3 linked regions of the Schizosaccharomyces pombe genome follow. Changing the gene in region 1 together with any one later gene gives a genetic interaction. Each region holds a gene or a part of one and is shown in the gene's direction. Other genes may lie near its edges. The genes, in order: pkd2, cdc7 and cdc14.

The links.
Region 2: of pkd2 (region 1) and cdc7, changing one suppresses a phenotype caused by changing the other (phenotypic suppression), as found in Schizosaccharomyces pombe (one study listed by BioGRID).
Region 3: of pkd2 (region 1) and cdc14, changing one suppresses a phenotype caused by changing the other (phenotypic suppression), as found in Schizosaccharomyces pombe (one study listed by BioGRID).

What each region holds. Positions count from the first base shown.
Region 1 is NC_003424.3:4,217,725-4,221,481, forward strand, and holds the start of pkd2 (plasma membrane TRP-like calcium ion channel Pkd2), read left to right. Parts: upstream 1-2,026; 5' UTR 2,027-2,276; coding exon 2,277-3,757. Other genes in the region: ATP-dependent RNA helicase Has1, read right to left, coding at 1-1,430. UniProt on the Schizosaccharomyces pombe protein: Acts as a key signaling component in the regulation of cell shape and cell wall synthesis through interaction with GTPase Rho1.
Region 2 is NC_003423.3:3,224,355-3,228,111, reverse strand, and holds the start of cdc7 (serine/threonine protein kinase SIN pathway Cdc7), read left to right. Parts: upstream 1-1,606; 5' UTR 1,607-1,681; coding exon 1,682-1,708; exon of another isoform or gene 1,709-1,760; coding exon 1,761-1,895; exon of another isoform or gene 1,896-1,936; coding exon 1,937-1,966; exon of another isoform or gene 1,967-2,015; coding exon 2,016-2,080; exon of another isoform or gene 2,081-2,127; coding exon 2,128-2,381; intron 2,382-2,431; coding exon 2,432-2,893; intron 2,894-2,933; coding exon 2,934-3,175; intron 3,176-3,243; coding exon 3,244-3,307; intron 3,308-3,344; coding exon 3,345-3,697; intron 3,698-3,738; coding exon 3,739-3,757. Other genes in the region: serine/threonine protein kinase Ppk24, read left to right, coding at 1-758, 841-1,292. UniProt on the Schizosaccharomyces pombe protein: Protein kinase essential for cell division. Plays a key role in initiation of septum formation and cytokinesis.
Region 3 is NC_003423.3:2,330,178-2,333,934, forward strand, and holds the start of cdc14 (SIN component Cdc14), read left to right. Parts: upstream 1-1,948; 5' UTR 1,949-2,092; coding exon 2,093-2,815; 3' UTR 2,816-2,996; coding exon of another isoform or gene 2,997-3,757. Other genes in the region: gpa1 (G-protein alpha subunit), read left to right, coding at 161-1,384; folliculin bhd1, read right to left, coding at 2,997-3,757. UniProt on the Schizosaccharomyces pombe protein: Has a role in the septation initiation network (SIN) required for cytokinesis.

The sequences.
Region 1 (3,757 bases):
TCGAGCTGAGATTGAACATTAGCAACTTTATTGGCAGGAAATTCAAACTCATTCAAAGAAACCTTGGCAGTTTTCAAATAACGAAGGAAACCGAGCTCAGAAGGAGCGAGGAACATAAGGGATTTACCAGTTCCCTTTGTTCCTCTAGCTGTACGACCTACACGATGAATATAATCTCGGGGGTCATCAGGAGGATCGTACTGCACGATCCAGTCAACGGCTGGAATATCTAACCCGCGTGCAGCAACATTGGTGCAAAGTAGTATTCCCTTTTCGGCATTGCAGAATTCAAAAAAGGTGTTTGTACGACGCTGTTGCTTTTGCTTGCCATGAAGATCAAGTACTGGTAAATCTATATAGTTCAGTAATTCTGCCATATATTTGACAGAAGCACAAGATGACATGAAAACAATAACTTTTTTCTTCAAATTGCGTTTTAAGAAGGAAAATAAAAGAAGAAACCGTTTGTCAGAATCAACTACAACATAACCTTGCTCCAATCCTTCAACGGTAGAGGTAGGCTTACCAGAATCAACGTTAACATACAAGGGTCCGGGCTTAAGAGAGATACGAGCAAGATCTTCAACTTTAGTTGTCTGTGTAGCAGAAAACAGGAGGGTTTGTCGATTTTCCGAGGGAAGGATTTTCATGATTTGTCTCATTTCGTCCTCAAAACCAATCTCCAAAATTCTGTCGGCTTCGTCAATCACTAAGGATCGTAAATTGCGGAATACAAATCCTTTGGTATTTTGCAAGTGATCCAGTAAACGACCAGGAGTAGCAACTAATAGGTTAACACCTTTCACCAATTTATCAGCTTCAGCACGGCGATTAGCACCGCCAATGACGATACCAAATGTTTGGTGATGGTATTTCAACAACTCCTTTGCGACACCAAAAATTTGAAGAGCCAATTCACGAGTAGGAGATATAATAATAACACCAGTACCATTACGAGGCTTAAATTTCAATGCATAAAGCATTTCAATGGTAGGAATTAGAAAAGCCAAAGTTTTACCACTACCAGTTTTAGCTGCACCTAAAACATCACGACCGGCCAAAAGAGGAGGAATAGAGCGCTTTTGAATTTCTGTCATCGTTTCAAAGCCCATTTCTTTAATTGCCTTTTGGATGTTTTCAGAGAGTTGTAGGTCTGAAAACTTTTCAATATCCGAAGTGGAAGAAGCGTTCAGGTTGACAGATTTTTGAACACGCTCATCTTCATTTTCATTATCTAATTCCTCACTTTCTGATTCTACTGAAGTATTTTGGTCAGCATCTTCATTTTCCTCTTCCTGCTCGTAATCGTCTTCGTCTTGAGGAAGTTCTTCAGCAATTTTTTTATCGTTTTTTAAAGGTTTTTGACGTTTTTCTTTTACTTCCTCATTACCCGATTGATGCTTTTTCCGCTTTAACTCGGATTTAGCCATCTTGTACAACGAATGCAGACTACTAATGAGTTTGGGAATTTGCAAAATGCTTGTATGAAAAATGGAAAAGTGGAAAACTGCGAAATGTATACCGCCGTAACGCAACGTGTCAAATCTATGCAGCAAAGTAAATAGCAATATTTAACGATATTCTTTTCATTCAACTTTCAAATGTTAAACAATTATAGTGTTCAAATTCGATTGAAATTCCTAATCTAAAGTTAGTGTCTTTTAATAAACATTTCGCTATCTATACTGCGTACTATGTCACATTAGGCTTAGTTTTACATTATGATATTTTAAAGTAGCTGTGGTGAATTTCTTTATGAAAGAAGTTTTGCTAAAATGACTTTTGTTAATACGTTACGAGTTGATTAAGCGTCAATTGACACTGTAGAATATAAAAATTATCTTATAAAAAAAAAAGAAAGGTCTATCGTACTATTAAATCCTCAATTACCAGTTATTTACTGGTTAGTGTGCTGGTAGTTTTCCATGTTAAATGGCTGTGATCTAAGGTAACAGGTACCGGGATTTGTCTCTAGTCATCACTTGTCTTGAACGGGTTGAGAATCTTTGATGATAATACAGCCACCCAGAGCAAACTATATTTTTGTTAATCATTCCCATTGTTATATATCCCTCGATTTAATTGGAATTAATAAGTTTTCAAATCTAACTTAATTTAAGAATAATAATAACTGGTTGTGGAGAATTTTAGCTACATTTGAGACTCAGTTACATTGGAATTCACAGTCTGTCTTTTCTATTCATTAATATCATCTTTTGACTTCACCTTCCTGTTTTTCCATTAATCAACTGTTTCTCACTACCATCAACTGCAAAATGAGGCTTTGGAGAAGCCCACTTTTACTCTTAGTTGTGGTCGTCGAGCTATTTTCATGGGCTGATGCTTTAACCAGATTCATTTCCGCCGACTCTCTGTCCACATGTATGACTGATTCACAGTTATCAGCAAGTAAGCTCTATGCCTCGTATTTTCCGGACAATCAATCTGTTGCCTTTGATATCTCGATACAATCTCTTGTTTCTACGAATGTCAGTATAGACGTCGACATTAGTGCATACGGAATCGAAATAAAGAAGGTGATAGATCCTTGCGATATGGAAATTTCTGGCTTCTGTCCAATGCAGACTGGAAATATTGCTTTATCTGGTAGTCATACTTTAACCGGAGAGGCTCTTTCTATTCTTGATAGTATTCCCTCCATTGCATACACAGTTCCGGATTTAGATGCTGTTGTGACTATTAATATTTATGAATCAGATACAAACACACAATTAGCTTGTGTTCGTACTACAGTGCAAAATGGTCGTTCTGTTTACCACAGAGCTGTTTACTGGGTTATGTGTATGGTAATCGGTATCCCACTTTTAATTTTCTTACTGATATCCCCTGTTCTTCAAACACCCGCACTTTGGGAAATCGTTGAAACGATGATTACCTTATTTCAGTTTGCTCAAATCCAGGCTTTGTATTCCATGATGGCTACTTCTCTTCCTGCTATCATTTACAGTTGGGGCCGTAATTTCATGTGGTCGATGGGTATTATCAGGATTGGCTTCATGCAAGATGTTTTTACATGGTACGTTAAATCAACTGGCGGCACGCCATCTACTCTTGTAGATTTGGGTATACATGCTAATGTCGCCCTCGCAAAACGTGGTATTGATTTGGGCTCTCTCGCCAAGCGTGCAACTACTACTGTCACCACTAGCACAAGTGATTCTATTACCCTGAGGGGAATCAAGCGTATTTCATATATGATGGGGATTGAAACGACGAATTTCTTTGCTACTGGGTTTTCCTTTTTTATTATATTGTTGTTCTTTTCATTACTAGTTGCTATGGCTTCTAGATTTATTGTTGAAATGGTGCTCCTTGCATCCAGAAATCAAGCTTTGAAAAAGCAACGTATCCGTCTTTATTGGAAATCTATATCCAAAGGATTTTTCTATCGTGTGATTTTTGTCGGATTCACTCAAATGAGTGTTTTGTCCATGTGGGAAATCTATACTCGTGATTCTTCCGCTTTGGCATTTTTATCAATGTACGTGATTGTGGACATGGCAGTTTTGCTCTGCTATGCATTTGTGCGGACAATTCAAATTATCCGCAAAACAGGACCTTATTCCCATCCTGACGTCTTGTACAACCTATATTCTGACACTCAACACTTGATGCGTTGGGGCTTTATGTACGTGCAATTAGACGTCCGTTTCTTTTACTTTACTTTCCCACTGTTGCTTATAACCTTGGTACGCTCAATGTTCATCGGTTTTGGTCAGGGCTCACCCAAAGTCCA
Region 2 (3,757 bases), on another chromosome or scaffold:
CGTCGTTATAAAGCCAAGTACAATTACTGCACCATGGTTAGAAAATGAATACTTAGACAGTAATACTAGCTTACTTTCCGTTCATTCAATTCAACCTTCGTTTATTGGAATGTCTGACTTCGCAATTGGATTAGATCCTTCACTGAAGCGTATATTACCCGAAATAAGATTTCGCTTAGACTTTCAGCATCTAAAATCAATAGCTAAAGGGGCCACCTCTACAATCAAGGTTGTAACTCACAGAGATAAAATCACCGACGCAAAGATATACTATGCTGCCAAAGTATATCGGAAAACGAAAACATCGCATAAAAAAAGATTGAATACAATGGTTTATTTTTTAAGGGAATGGTCAATCCAACCAAAATTGGACCATCCTAATATTCTGAAAGTTATCTGCCCTTGTGTGACTTTGACAAGCGTATTTAATAAATCCGCTGGGTTTTGTTTGGTTCAAGAGTACTGTCCTCAAGGCGATTTATTTAAGCAAATTGAAGAAAAAGTTTTGACCTTAGAAGACAAATGTTGTTATCTAAAGCAAATTCTTCAAGCAGTAGCTTACTTGCAATCTCAACGTATTGCGCACCGAGATTTAAAGCCGGAAAACATCTTAATCGGAAGGGATGGATTGTTAAAGCTCACCGATTTTGGTACCAGCGAAATTGTGGGTAATCCTGGTGATAACGAATCCATTCGTTTCGTATCGGGTGCTGTTGGAAGTTTGGCATATCTAGCACCAGAAGCATTTCATGAAAATGGTAAGTCTTATGTGTATAAATTGTGTAGCAAGACGAGCTCTATCCTATTTCAAAAACGACGTACTAATAGTTCAATTGATAGAATATTGTGGTCTTTTAGCAGATAGGTGGTCATGTGGTATTTTGCTTAAAGTTCTGTTTACTGGATACTTTCCATTTAAAACTTCCGTGAAAACTGATCTTTACTACTCAAAGTATATGTCAATCCTTACAGATACTTGTGGTATTTCTTCAACTGATGAATCCAGTTTCCAAACCGAAGTCATTAAACAAATACCTACATTGCAGCCCCTCAGATATATACCTGAAGGTGCTAAGAAGATTATACTAAGTTTACTGAATCCTGATTCCCAGAATCGGCCGTCGTTGGATAGTATTTTAGGTACTGCATGGGTACGGAAACTGGATTGTTGCAGTAACTTCTCTACCGATCATGAAAATAAGAGTTTACAGGAAGTTGATTTTGATGCTTCTAAACCCATTACAAGGAAAAGTTTGATTCCTCGGATTCATAACCATCAGACACTTGTTTAACGTAGTTTAAATCACTGTCTTTTCTACTTTACTTTCCAAGCTAAAATGAACTCATTCTTCCTATGTACATGGTGTTTCCACTGACATTACTTAACCAACGGATTAGTTCCATCCTTGCCAATATTTTTTATATGTCTGTATAATACGCTTTTTCTTTTATACGAGAATCTTTGTTTATTAATGATTTTATAAATAGCTTAATTATTACTATTTACTTCTTTTGAGTTTATAACATGCAAGTTCAGGTACCGTACTAAATGTGTATGTACACTATAAAGTCCTTACTTCTTCAAACGCAGCAAATGCTACATCGTAAACAAAACCAAATTGTCTTTTCATTCAAAATTACAAATAAATTCAATTTTTAATTTGTAACTTATTCAATAGTCATGCACAATATCCAAGCATCTTCCATCGTATGCTAGTATTTAATGTTAATAGCCATTGGATTTTCAATAACATATTCAGACTCTTGGGGATTGCTTGGGCAAGGGTGCCTTCGGTGCAGTATACCGTGGTCTAAATATAAAGAATGGAGAAACGGTGGCTGTAAAAAAAGTTAAACTATCCAAAATGCTAAAATCTGATCTTTCCGTCATTAAGGTATGAAGGGATCTCAACTATTTTTCTCTAACAATTTTTAGATGGAGATTGATTTGCTTAAAAATTTGGACGTATGTTACTCATTCGTTTATAATGGTCGCCAAATACTAAACGTGGTAGCATCCAAATATTGTTAAATATAGGGGATCTTATCAGACGAACGATTCTCTATGCATTATTCTGGAGTACGTGATTTTCTTTAAAAAATTGTTTTCAAGTTAACGATATATAGATATTGCGAAAACGGATCGTTGCGCTCAATTTGTAAAAACTTTGGAAAGATTCCAGAAAACCTAGTGGCCTTATATACGTTTCAAGTATTACAAGGGCTACTTTATCTACATAATCAGGGTGTTATCCATCGTGATATTAAGGGTGCCAATATACTTACTACTAAAGATGGCACTATCAAGTTAGCAGATTTCGGGGTTGCGACGAAAATTAATGCTTTAGAGGATCATAGTGTTGTTGGAAGCCCCTATTGGAGTAAGCCTTTTCTAAGCGTATAGTTATAACATTACTAACAATTTATATAGTGGCTCCCGAGGTTATAGAGCTTGTAGGCGCCACAACAGCCTCAGATATTTGGAGTGTTGGCTGCACAGTTATTGAACTGTTAGATGGAAATCCTCCCTATTATGATTTAGATCCTACGTCCGCTCTTTTTCGGATGGTGAAAGATGAACATCCTCCCTTGCCTTCAAATATTTCTTCGGCTGCTAAAAGTTTTTTAATGCAATGTTTCCAAAAGGACCCAAATTTACGAATTAAGACCAGAAAACTTCTTAAACATCCTTGGGTGATAATGAACCAAACCTCCTCTAAATTTTCTGACGCTATAGACGAGGTTCAAAAATATAATGAAAGAGTGAAAGAAAGCACTTTGACAGCTATTATCGAGCCTACTTCCAACAGAATCAATCCGACTCTTCATTCTGGCAGGCAGTCTTCTTATCACATGCCTGAGTCTCCAAAAACACCAATTGCCGAGTCCCCAGGTAGCTTTATGATACTTTTTAACTACTCTAACATTTTTAGATCATGATAACTGGGACAATGAATTTCAAGGAACCCTTAAAATCAGTGACGATGTTTTAAAGAAATCTGAGCATTTTATGGATTTTTGCAGTAACTTTAAAGGAAAAAATAATTCCAGCTCCATAACATCATCCCCTTCGAAGTCTCGCCATGCTTTTAATTCAGATCAAATCTCTGAATCAAACAACTTTAATGCATCACCGTTGAGTACTCCTCTCAAAGCCCAATTTGATCCCTCTAAGGTAAATAATGCAGCTCGATTTTCTAGAGCTTTTAATGATTTTAAATAAATAATTAACCTTTTTTTTAGCCCGCTCTCAACCGGTCAATAGATCATCAAAAAACTCCGCAACATAAAAGATACTTGTCAACTGGTAAGTATCTGATACTAACATATAACTAATTATCTAGAGTTTAAAGAGAATATACCAGACGGAATTGAAAAATTTGTCGAGACACCCAGAGATAGTGAATTTACTGATATTTTCCCTACATCCTCAATCAAAGTTCAAGGATTGAGAAAGGAGACTGGACTGGGGACTTTGGTTTTAAACAAATGTTATGGCTCGTGGAATAATGAAGAAAATGAGGATGGGGAAGAATCGGATATCTTTGACTCTATTGAAACAAACTTAGAAAACTTGGATATTGAAAACAACATTGCTTTAGATAAGAGAACGCATCTAGCTTCCTTACTTTCCAGTCTGTTAGGCTCACTACGTGACAAGAATATCGGATCGAAGGATACAACTGTTTCGCAAATAGTAAGTGCATATTTTTATATTGATAATTTAACTGACAATAGGCTTCTATACTTAGTGAAG
Region 3 (3,757 bases), on another chromosome or scaffold:
TTGAGATTTAACGACATCTATTATTTCTTTTTTAATCCAAAAATCCTTATTTATCACCTTTTCTGCTGTTTTTACAGAAAATTGCGGAGATTAACTTTCTTTGTCTCGACTTTGAATTATCTCCTTGTGGGGATTTGGAATCTGTAGCTGCCTTTTCACCATGGGATGCATGTCGAGTAAATACGCTGATACATCAGGAGGAGAAGTCATTCAAAAGAAGCTTTCAGATACGCAAACCTCAAACAGCTCTACAACTGGAAGTCAAAACGCTCGAGTTCCAGTCCTTGAAAACTGGCTTAATATCGTCCTGCGTGGAAAACCACAAAATGTGGAAAGTTCTGGAGTACGCGTAAAAGGAAATTCTACTTCAGGTGGAAATGACATTAAAGTTTTGCTCTTAGGCGCCGGTGATAGTGGGAAAACGACCATTATGAAGCAGATGAGATTATTGTATAGCCCCGGTTTTAGTCAAGTAGTTAGAAAGCAGTATCGAGTGATGATTTTTGAAAATATCATCTCCTCTCTATGTCTTCTTCTTGAAGCTATGGATAATAGTAATGTCTCTTTACTTCCGGAAAATGAGAAGTATCGGGCAGTTATCCTAAGAAAACACACTTCTCAACCCAATGAGCCATTTTCTCCAGAAATATATGAAGCTGTTCATGCCTTGACATTGGATACCAAACTTCGTACGGTGCAAAGTTGTGGTACCAACCTCTCTTTGTTAGACAATTTTTATTACTATCAAGATCACATTGATCGAATTTTTGACCCACAATATATACCTTCTGATCAAGATATCCTTCACTGTCGTATCAAGACGACCGGTATATCAGAAGAAACATTTCTGTTAAATCGTCATCATTACCGATTTTTTGATGTAGGAGGACAGAGATCAGAGCGCAGAAAATGGATTCATTGCTTTGAAAATGTCACTGCATTGTTGTTTCTCGTTTCTTTGGCAGGTTACGATCAATGCCTTGTAGAGGACAATTCAGGAAATCAGATGCAGGAGGCGTTATTATTATGGGATTCCATATGTAACTCTAGCTGGTTTTCAGAATCAGCAATGATACTTTTTCTAAATAAACTTGATTTATTTAAAAGAAAGGTTCACATTTCCCCCATCCAGAAGCATTTTCCTGATTACCAAGAAGTTGGTTCAACACCAACATTCGTACAAACTCAATGCCCTCTTGCCGACAACGCAGTTCGAAGCGGTATGTATTACTTTTACTTAAAGTTTGAAAGTCTTAATCGCATCGCTTCTCGTAGTTGCTATTGCCATTTTACCACAGCTACAGACACTAGTTTGCTCCAAAGGGTAATGGTATCCGTTCAAGATACGATTATGTCCAACAATCTACAGTCACTTATGTTTTAGATGAATTTTTCCTTAACTATCTTCATAATCTTTTCTGTCTCATTTCTCTACTTTCATTCGCACTCTAGGAAAAGCCTCTATACTTTTCCGTGAATGGTGTCTCTAGTTAATTTCCTTGCATTTTGTATGCACTTCATGTGTTATTTCTCCATCGAAACTGTTAATTAGTGCATTCTAATTGTTTTATTTCATAGCTTCTTCGAAGCTTCGTGTAATCTTATATTGTTTTAAATAGCTCAAAATTAACTGCAGTTTTTGTTATTTGATAATTTTACGATTAATACATAACTATTGTTTAATTTAATATCTAAATTTTTTCATGTCAACCGTTTGAGACAAACTAAACCCATTGATATTAATATAATTAAATTAGGCGGATTTGATCGTAAACTAAATATAAATCTATAAGGACTCGATGTTGCTTGTTTTGTTATTTTAGGCCCCTTTTTCAAATATGGCTCCAATTCGCCTGTTAATATTCAATTGTATCCTATCTTAGCAAGCTGGTGTTTTCTCTCCCAAAACCTCAAGTTTTAGAAAATAGCAATTTAATGTAGCTGCTTCAACACTCCACCCTACTATTTATATCATTACTAAGAACGAATATAGAGTCTCTTTTTTATCTTTAACTAAACGAAGATTCAATTTACTTTTATTTATAATAAGGATTTTTATTGCCCGCTTGGCATGAGTAAATAATGATCCGGTATGGAAGATCTATTAAACAATGCTAAACAGCATTTGTGTATGAGGAATCCAAAGCTAATTCGAATTGGTTTGCGTCAAGTCGAATCTATTGTATATCATGTTGCGAAACCTAGTCATGATGATAAAATTCCAAGAGAAATTTTCCTAAAATTACAGGATTCACCATTGTATAATTCTACTACCCCTTGCATTTACGCTTTGGACAGTCTCCTTGAATATCAGCAGAATGAAGAGGCATACGAAAAAAACTTTCAATTCATTCAAAAGCTAATTGATGACTTACTGCATGTGATTGAAGGATTGGTTTTAATCCATCCAAAATCACAGACGTTATTTGAAGATAAAGCTACCTTAAGGTTATTTATTCATTTATTACAGCCATCTCAGCCATCTATGTTGCAAGTGGCTGCAATGAAAACGCTTGTATGTATCATGGCAGATCGTCCACTGGCTATTAGGCTTTTTGAGCAGATTAATGGCTTGCAGCAGATATGCGTAGTTTTTAAGCACAAACAAACAAGTCAGGACACCCGATTTCAAATTCTCGAATTTTTCTATTTCTATTTATCCCCTGAACCATATTCTATAGATGTCATTGCCTACAGGAAAACGCGGACTGAGAAACAAGCTTACCTATCCAAATATCTTTCTAACGTACAAGGGCTTCGAGATGATTTAGATAAGTTTCAACCATTTGGCAAGTTAGACGAAACATTCGACTAGTTAGATGCAATGCCTGGTGCAAAAAAATGTTTAAAGTCTCATTGTTAACTTATTTTTGAAAATTTAGTATTCATTTACTAAAGAATTTCTAATGTTAATGTTAAATTATTAATCGATCATCTTACTATTGAAAGTATTCCAGCATCCTATAGCATTTGTAAAAAGTCAACCAGTTTTACTTTCATACTACTAAGAGATCCCAAACCTCCAGAATCCAGCTAAACGAACTGTGAAGACCGACAAAGATTCCGTCCCAACATGTGATATCAACTAAACTGCGTCCCTCCCCAATATCGTCTCGACGACGCAAAAAACTGAAAGAAGGAAGTCTTTGTGTGTGGGCCAAAGATGACACATTTGCACCGATACTAGAGGATATCTCATACGAAGGAGCAGTTCCTATATTTGAAGAACCCGATAACGAAGAAATGTTAAAACTGGGGGATGCAAACGTTCCATTGCTAGAGGAGGCTGTTGTTTTTGAACGGGAGGAGGAGTAGTCATTCTTTGTATTGAAAGAAGAAATCCTTAGAAACTGGACTATATGAAGAAACTTTTCAGAAATAAAACTATATCGCAAAATCAAATCTAACTGATTTGGACAAGTAGCAATAATCGCATATCTTCGAAGTCCTCCCCGGGCAGAGGGATCTCTTAAAGAAAAAGACTGACTAATAACGTAACCGTTATCTTGGTCTCCAAAGAACAAAGGATTTGACATAGAATCGGAAGCTTCAGATAGTGTTGAATATTCACAGCTCAAGCAGCGAACCATTAATCGCTTAAGGGTAGAATATCGTTGCTGAGTATGTGGATGTTGACTAGACATGTATAAAACATCGGGGTTTGTACTTGAGTTTGTATAAAGTCGTGGTTGAACATCAGGTACAGAGAATTCAAGGGGTAAAACAGTACTACATGTAACACAAGATGATTTTCTCG